Oryzias latipes: one gene and its partners. The protein of the gene in region 2 interacts with the protein of the main gene of each other region in a pairwise test. Links are inferred from orthologs where the notes say so. Each region holds a gene or a part of one and is shown on either strand. Other genes may lie near its edges.

What was found.
Region 1: the proteins of nup58 (region 2) and mis18a interact in binary tests that used the Homo sapiens proteins (3 or more experiments, as listed by UniProt). The link is inferred for Oryzias latipes from reciprocal best matches to the Homo sapiens genes NUP58 and MIS18A.
Region 3: the proteins of nup58 (region 2) and pknox1 interact in binary tests that used the Homo sapiens proteins (3 or more experiments, as listed by UniProt). The link is inferred for Oryzias latipes from reciprocal best matches to the Homo sapiens genes NUP58 and PKNOX1.

Annotation. Positions count from the first base shown.
Region 1 is NC_019872.2:10,921,809-10,925,759, reverse strand, and holds the end of mis18a (protein Mis18-alpha), read right to left. Parts: intron 3,390-3,951; coding exon 3,287-3,389; intron 2,065-3,286; coding exon of another isoform or gene 1,999-2,064; exon of another isoform or gene 1,995-1,998; intron 1,311-1,994; coding exon 1,230-1,310; 3' UTR 647-1,229; downstream 1-646. UniProt on the Homo sapiens protein: Required for recruitment of CENPA to centromeres and normal chromosome segregation during mitosis.
Region 2 is NC_019878.2:13,563,875-13,567,526, reverse strand, and holds part of nup58 (nucleoporin p58/p45), read left to right. Parts: intron 1-1,760; coding exon 1,761-1,844; intron 1,845-2,459; coding exon 2,460-2,558; intron 2,559-3,350; coding exon 3,351-3,520; 3' UTR 3,521-3,652. UniProt on the Homo sapiens protein: Component of the nuclear pore complex, a complex required for the trafficking across the nuclear membrane.
Region 3 is NC_019879.2:31,118,809-31,122,250, reverse strand, and holds part of pknox1 (homeobox protein PKNOX1), read right to left. Parts: intron 3,385-3,442; coding exon 3,213-3,384; intron 2,992-3,212; coding exon 2,791-2,991; intron 2,718-2,790; coding exon 2,600-2,717; intron 2,527-2,599; coding exon 2,429-2,526; intron 1,419-2,428; coding exon 1,290-1,418; intron 1,214-1,289; coding exon 1,137-1,213; intron 1-1,136. UniProt on the Homo sapiens protein: Activates transcription in the presence of PBX1A and HOXA1.

The DNA of each region.
Region 1 (3,951 bases), on a different chromosome or scaffold from region 2:
AGCAGAGGGTGGGGAGAGAAGGCGGGAAAGGGGAGGAGGATGAGACAAAGGGTGGAGTTAGAGCTGGAGAAAAACATCCTGCGGAGATTAGGGGTTTTGGGGAGGGGGTGTTCATTCAGAACTCCTCCTCTGCGTGGGGGATAACTTCAACTGACAGGCGTTTTGGCCAGTGAGCGGGCCGACTGCTCCTCCAGCGCTCAAAGCGATGACGAGATGGCAACAGGCACTCTCGGCGTAGCACATGCTCTCAGTTGCCATCGCAACCTGCCCTTGGATACAGCGTGCTGGTTGGCCATCCTCGACTGTTGTTGTTCTGTGAGGCTGATGAAACCTCGTGGGTGAGGGCGGGCGAGCGGTACAGCACTGAGCTGCTTCGGCGTTTATGGTAGAAAAGTGTTGCTAGGCACATTAGAGGTCATTTAGTAAACAAACATTGAGGTATTAATATTTAATCATCCCTGCCACCCCTGGAGTTAACCTTTTAACTCTAGAATCCAAGAGGAAGTTTTACTTGGAAAGCATAGCAGGATGAGATGATCCCTAAAAATCTCTGCAAAAAAGAACACTTTAAAAAGATTATGTTGATAGCTCGGATTGTTTTTTTGTATAAATACAAAGACGATACTTTGTCGATGGTTTGAAAAAATTTTTTATTATGGAACAGGTGACACTTTATTACGTAAAAATACATGAAATCACACAAAAAAGAAATGATACAATTGCCTTTTTTTTTTTAAACAGAAAATAATATTTCAGCCACCCCAAAATAACATGTTCTTTGGGATTTCAGCAAATTTGAATTTGCTTTAATGGGAAAATTCCACACTATCCGTTGAAAAGACATAAGAGAAGAAGAAGTGTGTGTGGCCGCGAAGTGAAAGATCAATACTGCACTGTGCTGAGTGTGCAGCCTGCATGATGAAATCCTGCACAAATAAACATTCTTCCCGTGGCACACATACAAAGACCCACAGAGACGGCGGTGCCACGAGAGGCGAGCTGGCAAGATGATTGATTACGAGTGCCGGCAGTCTTTGTTTCAGCAGTTGTACTTGGGACGAGAGCAAGGTGAGGCTGTGGAACAAAATGTACCCATGAAGGAATGAGGTGGAATTTCAGGTGGGAAGGAATAATGTAAACCATACAGGACAAAGAGCTCAAACACAGGAACTGTGCGTTAACACGTGGACAAACACGGTCTCTGATAAGCGGGCGGGCATCCATCAGTGTCAGGCCTCATCACATCCATCCTGAAGGCCACCTTCGATCTCCTCCAGCCTCTGCGCCATAGACACCACCAGCATTTTCATCTGAAAGGAACGTGGGGGTCAGGCGGGAGAGTTTGCGAGTGGGGGAAAAAAAAAAGTAGAAGAGAAATGAGTAGAAAGTGAGGATGAAGGAGTCACAGTGGGAAAGAGATGAAGGGAGGCGTGGACAGGTGGGAGCAGCAGGAAGCTGTTAGAAAAGGGAGAAGGAGTAATTAGAGAAGGGAGTTAGTGAGAGGGAACGGTAAAACTAAGAGAGGAGATGGTCAAAGATGGGTGGATTTTCTATTGGGTGGGGCTCTGGACTGGGGGGGTGCAGATCATAGCAAGTATCCACAGTTTAGATCGACAGAATCCATTAACTACAGCAGCAGAGGAGATTAAAAAACAACAATAAATTACAGCTAAAGAGAAAAAGAAAACAGTTAAAGGCGAGAACAACATCACACTATTTAAAGAATAAGCTCTAGATGATGAATGGGAAAAACTGTAAAGGTTAACATGTGCAAGAAAGATTTGACATGTAATGGATCTAATGTGTTTTAATGTTTAAACCCAAGTTCCACAGTGATGGTTTTCCCTTAATAAAACATTGCTGACTCTAAAGCTAACACTTATCCATCTTAATTAGTAAAATATGACTCATATGTATGTTTATAGACCTAAAAAGATTGTTTTTAATTCAGTAAATTAAATGGGTGTGAAACTACCGGTTTTTGAATTCCTGACCTGGTCAAACATTAACATAATCCTGTTGCAGTGCACCGATGGTCGACAGTGAATTATGGTGATAAATCTCCTAAAATGACATTTAGTGGGCAATCATCAGATAAATTGCCAGCCTATCCAGACAGACAGTAAACACAATCAATAGTAAACTGGGTACAGGGTTAATCTAGTTTCAGAGCAGCACAGATTACACTGTGAAGACCTAAAGTGGTTTGTTTTTTATGTATTTGTTTAGGTCAACACACATTTTTTTAATGATTCAATTAGTCATGTCACTACTTTAGGCCTTTAAATTCATCATAAACACAACTCTGTTCTGCTGCTTGGATGAATGTTATATTTATCTGTGAATGCCTCAACAGCAGAACAGGTTTTTTTTTTTGCTTTCTAGATCAAACTTTGTGATAAGAAAGTTTGATATACTTGAGCTGTCATATTAATCAATTAGGTTTGATTCATTAAAGCAGCTGTGTTTAACCACAAGGACACCTGATGATACAAAAACATGTTTTCCCACCAACAGAGATGCCTCAACATGAACCCTTTCGCATCTATTGTCCCTGGTGCAAGAGTGTGGGTGAGGTGTTCCTGCCCTTTATCGCCACCTACTGGCCAAATGCCGCCTCGAAATGTTTTCTAAACAAAGGGTGATTAAGATGAACAGTTCATTTCATCTATGCAGCCGAAAATACAGCATAGTGACAAAGAAAATAGAATCTAAACAAATATATGAGTATATTATTCAAACGATAAAGTATTTCAATATTATTATACAATCAGTTATAGGGAGAAAAAAATGTGGTAATAAAAAATAGCTAGTTTCTCAGGAGTTCAGTTTATAAATATTGAATTAAAAAAATCTGTTTGCAGGAAATGACATGGAGACATGAGGTAATGTCTCGCATAGGGGTCTGCTCGCATCACCAGTGAGAGTTTTCTGGAACTAAGCTGATGTCATTCCTGCTGTAGTACAACCTGTACATGTCTAACACACAACAGAGACAACCTAAAGCAACCAAATCTCTGTCAGTACATCACACTGGTTCCTGATGCTACCAACACCTACAAGCACCCCTAATAAGTTACATTTATTCTGGGGATCTTTTTCCTACTTAATTTGACGACAACTATAAAATAAATTAAATCAGTTACGAAACGGTGACAAATACTTTGTTGAAAACATAAAGATAGTCATGCTTTAAAACTAAATATTTTGAAAAAAATTCAGACAAAACACACTACCTAAGAAAAACAGAGGAGCCAGACAAAGAAAAGCTGCAGCACTTATTTACCTCTGATAGCTGTTGTTCAACAAAGCCCCTGTATTCCAGCGTAACTGGTTTCTCATCTGAGCCCTCTGCTGCCATCATCTGGTTTGCAGAGCCGAGCACATAGCTGAAAAATGGATCATAATATAATGTAGCAAACTATGCATTCTAGACTCTTCTTGAGCAAAGAAATTCCTACAACAGCTTGTTGATGGCATTTATTTTAGTTTTAAAATATGTTTTTGTAAAAGTTTTTTTTAAGTTATTAAAAAAGGTTCTATACAACCCTATATTCAATCATTTTGCTTATTCTGTTTGAACAAAAATGTTTTTTTTACAAATAATTTATATTATTTGTAAATTCTTTGTAGAAAGTGAGGAGAGATTGTAAGTTCTGCTATAATTTCTATTATTTACACAATAGTCACACTATACAATATTACTATACTAGTTTTGAAATTATGTACATCTAAAAAAGGTCATACTGAAAAGAAAGATTTTCTTAGTAGATGCATATCATTTAAAAGTTCCACTTAAGTCATCTTTTGATCTATTTAAAAATAAAAAAACTGATCATAATGCCATTTTTAGCCATAATCCAAAAACTTGTGTTGTTTTCTAAGATGTAGTTTCTGCAGAGCAGCAGGAGTCATCAGAAATTCACCTATGAGTTGAGGGCGGGACTGTTG
Region 2 (3,652 bases):
TTGTCAGTGCGTACAGGGATCATTGGCAAACCTAATTTAATTGTTTATTGGTGGAGTTTATTTATTTAAAAAAGGAAAAACCTTTCTGGCTTTTTCCATAAAAACACTAATATTTTTGTAATATAGAGATGGAATTCCAATCAACTTCTTGAGGAATTTAAATTATTTGTGTGGTTTCTTAACATTGTCTTCCATGATTCTACATTTGTAGTATACTGGCAGTATAAAAAGTGAATTGCTGTATTTAAGGTTTTTGGAGTTTGAAGTGATCTTATTACCCAGATTAGATATTTTTTTCTGAATTAAATTACACCAAAATGTGAATCCAGCTTTTACATTTTTTTTTTAGGAATGTTACTTTCCAGGCAAATTGCTTGAAGTCCTCAACTAGAAACATGTATGTAGTAAAAGCTGTTTTTCCTTTAGTTAACCCTCAGTTCAACATCACACCAAAATGCTCATTTGAGAACTCTTGTAGTATTTGAGTGGTCAGCTGTTGAAGACTTTATTGAATGTTTCTGTCTCTCATGACACAATTCCTTGAAATATTTCTAATATTTAGCTATTTTTCAGTAGTGTGTGTGTGTGTGTTTGTGTGTTTGGCTCTGACGATGGTTTCAGGGTGTGTAGGAACTGAGTGAATAACCAATTACCTCAGTGAAGTTAGTCTTGTACAACGAAGATTGCATCTTGGGTAGATTTAGTCTTGTAATGCTCTTCAACCAAAACCACACCCACCTTCATGAGTCATTCTCACATCAACCACATGGTTTGGAACTTGAAAACTCCACTTTTTGACATCAGCTTACACTGAAACGATACTATAAACTCTTAACTCTTGAGTGCTTTAATTTAAATGCCTGTTGATCCAATATATTTAATACAAAATGTTGTGCCTTTTATATAACTATATAGCGTAATTGTGCTAATTGTGTGTGTGTTTTTTTGGGGATGTATGCTAGTTCATTCACTCTCAGAAATCTTGAAAATTTATTGATTGCGGTAGCAGATAGCAATTAACCGATTCTGTTCCTGTTTGTTTGTGTTTTATGTAAGTGGAATTGCATATAAATTGACAATAAATCAGTTTTTAACAAAGAAACATTTGTCCTTGTTTTGTTTTGACTGGAGTATTTATTATTATTATTTATTTTTTGGTAGTGCAGACTAATTGGACATTTTTCTATTTTTTTTTTTTTAAATTAAAGTCATCAAAGAAATGCAAAAAGACAAGATTCTGAGTGAAAGAACTAGCAGCCTTTTTTCCAAGTTCTTAAAAACCTCTAAGCATCCCTGTTATTGCCTGAAATGGTTTCTTTTTAAAACAATTTCCTAAACTTTTTACTGCATTGTTCATAACACGTGGAGTACAAAGCATTGTGCACGGCCACATTTATTTACAATTTTCAGGGACATTTACATAAAATCATGAATAATAGTTGTTTGCTATTACGCTAGCATTTAACCCTTGTGCTATCCTAGGCACTTTACCATTGGGAGTTGGGTCATCTAGACCCACTAGACAGTGCTCTGAACCTTTTTTCTTCAATGATTTGTGATCTTCACTGGTGTCCATGGATTACATGAAATCTTTCCACCTTTGTCATAGTAGGAAGAACACATCAATGTAAGGGTGGGGTCATCTAAGATAGCACAAGACAAACATATAGATTTATTTATACATGGCATTATTATGTCCAAAAAAAAACAAAGATGTTCCCAGAACAGTAAAGCAAGTGCTTTTTCCCTCTGTGCCATAGGGACACAGGCACCCTTGGGGGCAGGATTTGGAAATCCTTTTGCCTCAGCAGTGGGCACTAGCCTGGGCTCCTCTACCCTTGGAGGTACTACCTCTGAATTTTGGAAAATGTTGCTCGCTTTGTGCTATTTTATTTTATTCTTTCTCCTAGCGTTTCACTTTTCTCCTTAATGACAACAAACCCTTTAAGCAGGAGATTGTGGAGATCTTCTTGTTTCAAAGGAACAGGTTGCTAGTGTGTGTTTGTGGGTACAGTCACTGTATAACACCCCCCCCCCCCTCTTCCTTCATTCGTAGTTTAAAGTACATTCAAGAAAAGTGACTCCTATCTTTATTTTGACATTGAAATCACTAGAAATGTGACTTCCGGTCCTTGAAAGAAAAAAATTGGCAAAAGTTACCTGGTTCTAATATTAATAGTTATTTTTCTCCAGAAAACGTTTGCACTTCTAATTAAAACATCCACAATTACAGGAATAGGTAGTCTGAGCAACTTACACTGATGGTTTTGTTCTTTTACCTTCCACAATCTTGGGTTTGTGGTTGTGTGTAGCTTTGAAACTGTATTGCATCAGCCTGTTTTTCAGATCTTTTGCCTAAGTTTCCCTCCCCTCACTGCCAAACTCTCTTCTTCTTTTTGTGTGCCGACGCCCTCGTTTTCGGTTTTCCGTCTGACTCCCATGTCCCTCTTGTCCCCCAGGATTTGCTGGTGGACCAGGATTCGGCGGCGTGGGCTGTGCGGGGTCGTCTTTTGGCTTCTCCACCGCTGCCAAGCCCGCAGGGGGCAGTCTGAGTGCAGGTATGTTCAGTCTGCGTAAATACTGTCCTCCGACTCGCCTTCAACAGTAGCAGAACACAGAAAACACTTTTTGATGATTCTTCTAGATGCCTTCATCTGATGGTGAGGAAGGTAACTTGCATACGTTTATAAGTTTTGTAGGAATTTTTGTTACTACGCTCCATCCAAGAGCATCGCTCATGATATGCCCCAATACTCCATAAATACTCCATAAATGTGAGTTTTTTTTTTTTTCTAAATTGTTGTTTCCATTAGGTGAAATTGTCGCGAATCCATTTGTTCATTGAAGTGAAAACGCAGCTAACATGTCCGTATCATACGTGATCTGTGTCCGTTTTGTCACTATACCGCCAGTCTGTTTTGTTGGTCAAACATTTGGAGCTTCACATCCATCAGAACAGGCGGATCCTACTTATTAAAAAAAAAACTGCAGCTGTAACTCATTTTCTGCATCAAAATAAACCGCTCTAAATTTAAAAATGTCCCCCATCGTTTTGCTCTGTAATGTTTGTGGATAAAGTAGGAAGAAGAAGAAAACAGACCGGTGATATCAAGACGAGCACATAAAAAAAATGGAGCACAGTAGTTGTAGTTTTTTACTTTTGTAGTTCCTAAAAAAACATTCAAATGAAAAACACCCATTTATGTATTTATTTCTTTTTATTTAATACAATACCTTTCTATTCTACAACGAACAAACTGTTGTTTTCATAGCAGCAAATGCTAACATGGTCTTCTCCTTGATCCTGCAGCATCTCCCCATGACCTGGATGTCTTTTCTATGTCCACTAGGTTTTGGCAGCACCAGCAGCTCGGGCTTCAACTTCAGCAACCCGGGCATAAACCCGTCGGCTGGCCTGACCTTTGGCGTGTCTAACCAGCCTGCTGTGGGTTTCGGAGCAGGAGGGCCACTTCTCCAGCTAAAAAAGCCTCCCGCCGGTAACAAAAGGGGCAAGAGATAGGCATAGCAGAAAGACTGAACTTTGGGACAAAAAAAAAAAAAAAGAAGGCTCCAGTGCTTGAAGTAAGTAAGGCCTGGATTTTAAAAGCGCAAGTAAGGGGGAAATAGAAAAAAAAAGACAAAAGTGATTAGA
Region 3 (3,442 bases), on a different chromosome or scaffold from region 2:
TGCAGCAGCAGCTGAGGTTCCTGCAGCAGCAGCTGAGGATCCTGCAGCAGCAGCAGAGGTTCCTGCAGCAGCAGCAGCAGCAGAGGTTGCTGCTGCAGCAGCAGCAGCAGAGGTTCCTGCTGCAGCAGCAGCAGAGGTTCCTGCTGCAGCAGCAGCTGAGGTTCCTGCTGCAGCAGCAGCTGAGGTTCCTGCAGCAGCAGCAGCTGAGGTTCCTGCAGCAGCAGCAGCTGAGGTTCCTGCAGCAGCAGCAGCTGAGGTTCCTGCTGCAGCAGCAGCAGAGGTTCCTGCTGCAGCAGCAGCTGAGGTTCCTGCTGCAGCAGCAGCTGAGGTTCCTGCTGCAGCAGCAGCAGAGGTTCCTGCTGCAGCAGCAGCAGAGGTTCTTGCAGCAGCAGAGGTTCCTGCTGCAGCAGCAGCTGAGGTTCCTGCTGCAGCAGCAGCTGAGGTTCCTGCTGCAGCAGCAGCTGAGGTTCCTGCTGCAGCAGCAGCTGAGGTTCCTGCAGCAGCAGCAGCATAGGTTCCTGCAGCAGCAGCAGCAGAGGTTCCTGCAGCAGCAGCTGAGGTTCCTGCAGCAGCAGCTGAGGTTCCTGCAGCAGCAGCAGAGGTTCCTGCAGCAGCAGCAGCAGAGGTTGCTGCTGCAGCAGCAGCAGCTGAGGTTCCTGCTGCAGCAGCAGCTGAGGTTCCTGCTGCAGCAGCAGCAGAGGTTCCTGCTGCAGCAGCAGCTGAGGTTCCTGCTGCAGCAGCAGCTGAGGTTCCTGCTGCAGCAGCAGCAGAGGTTCCTGCTGCAGCAGCAGCAGAGGTTCTTGCAGCAGCAGAGGTTCCTGCTGCAGCAGCAGCTGAGGTTCCTGCTGCAGCAGCAGCAGAGGTTCCTGCTGCAGCAGCAGCTGAGGTTCTTGCAGCAGCAGCAGCATAGGTTCCTGCAGCAGCAGCAGCAGAGGTTCTTGCAGCAGCAGAGGTTCCTGCTGCAGCAGCAGCTGAGGTTCCTGCTGCAGCAGCAGCTGAGGTTCCTGCTGCAGCAGCAGCTGAGGTTCCTGCAGCAGCAGCAGCATAGGTTCCTGCAGCAGCAGCAGCAGAGGTTCCTGCAGCAGCAGCAGCAGAGGTTCCTGCAGCAGCAGCAGCAGCAGAGGCTCCTCACTCACCAGTTGTTGACTTGCAGGAGTGTCAGGTTGGTCTGCGTGGCGATCTGCTTCTTCTCGTCCTCTGTTGGATATGGGTGCTGCAGAGCCAGAAGAAACGGCGTGAAGCTACGATGGCAGACGTTCTGCATCGACCACACCTGCAGACGCACTCACCCCGATGTGCTGGAAGAGCCAGGAGCGCATGACGTTGGTGGCGTGTTTGGGAAGGACGCCGCGTTTATTCTTGGTGGAGTTGTCGTCGTGATTGAACAGGTTCACATCCTGGTGGAACTGCAGCTGAAACTGAGCACAGACGTCCCGTCAAAGGTGAGCTGCAAGAGTCCAGACACACCGGACCCCCTACCTGAAGAACTCCCCGATTCTGAACCGACAGTACCGAGGAGGAGGAGCGACAGGCACGATTACTGGACTTGACCCCGCCCATCTCAACGCAGAGAGGTATAGGGCGGGAACAGGTTTTAGTTCTTTTGGGCCCTCCCAATTCAGAAAAGCCGACCCCTAATGACCCGGAACCACTGATGTCCCCCAGGTATAAAACAGAAATGAAGCAGCAGTCTTTGAAAAACTCTTTAAAACCAAACTGGTTTATTTCTGGATTCAATCAGATTTAGCGCTGTGACGGGTTGGCATAGCGTCCACAGTAAACCCCGCCTTCCCCAAGAACCGATAGGATAGACCCCAGCAACCCCATAAAGTGGGCCTGAAAAATGGAATCTGACAACCTGCCTCCAGTGGTCATTCAAGGAACTGCACTGTTTGGTACTTCCTGTCTTGCGTGGATGTCGTACAGACTGTGGGGGCTTTCTGTTCACCGATACGTTTTCTTGAAATGTTTGATCATAGAAAATCTTTGGAAATAAATCATTGTTGTTCATTAGGTATATAATAAAACACGGGACAGTTAAGCATGTTTATTAACTAATTACAACCTGAACTGAAGCTGCTTCAAATATAGAACATGTATGTTAGTGATGGCATAACACAGGGAGGGGTAGGTGTGTGGGGGGGGTGCTGTTTACACCCACAGATTGGGGAGTTTACCGCTCAAATCGGCGGCTTTTGCTCCGTTTTAATGTAGCAACACTGCAGGCGGACAGACGCCGCGCTGGCATGAGCTCTTTACTGGACGCATTTTTACAAAACTGCGACCAAAGTATCTAAAGTATCGATCTCATCACGCTAGTATCAATACTTTGATGCAGATACTATGGACACTCCGATTGATCGGCCACCTCTACTCATGAGCGCGCTCGCGGACAATGGCCCCTCCTACTGGCACCACACGGACGTACCTGATTGTTCTGGACGCGGATGGTTCCCGGTGAGAGAGTCTGGGTCACCACCTGACCCTGGGGGGTAACCACGGTGACGGGCTGGTACACGGCCCCTCCTGAAACACACACAGGTATGCTCAGCTTCCAGCTGCTGCCTGACGGTTCGGGGGGGGGCGCTCGCGGACCCACCTGCCACCATCTGGTTGGGGTTGACGGCGGTCACGGTGACATTGCCCTGCTGCAGGGTGGAGGCCGGGACCACGATCTGACCCTGGGGACTGATGGCCCCGGACATGGAGCTGGGGGTCTGCACACAGACCGGAACACATGACCTCGGGGTCGCACACGTCTACCTGCAGGAGGAGGGGGCCAGAGCTCACCTGAGTCTTGGTGGGGGAGAAGGCCTGCGCCTGACCCTGCACGGGCGAGTAGGGGCTGCCGGGCTCGCCGCTCAGCAGCGTCTCGCTGTTCATCTTGGTCTTGAGGCAGGCGATGTAGCGGCTGCAGAAGTCCTTGCACAGGTCGCTCACCTTCTCCAGCTCCAGCAGGTGGATCCGGAGCACCTGGATGGCTTTCACCATCTCCACAGAGCAGAAAGAGAGCGGCGTGTCATCAGCATGGATCCGCTGATCATATGGTTAGACCTGAACACGCCGTTCATGCAGGAATGACCACATCCATGTTTGTGTCTGACTTCCTGCCAAGCACCAAACTTCTGATTGGACGCTGAGAAAGCTCCTGAAAAGGATCAGCTGGCTGGTTTTTTTTGTATTGGGGGGGCAGCATTACCAAGGCGACTCACCAAGTTGTCGAGTTCAGGGTCCTCGCTGAAAAAGGGCCGGCCCTCCTTCTCCTGACTGCGGACGAAGTTCTCGATGTCCACGTCGAAGCTGGCGGAGGTGATGCAGTCGGCGCTCAGCGTGGACTGCTCACACTTCTCGAACAGCAGCGCCAGCAGAGGGAACAGAGGATGCCTGGGGAGAGAAGCCCCCCCAAAACCCGCCGCTTCATTCCACGTTCAAACATCCAGAA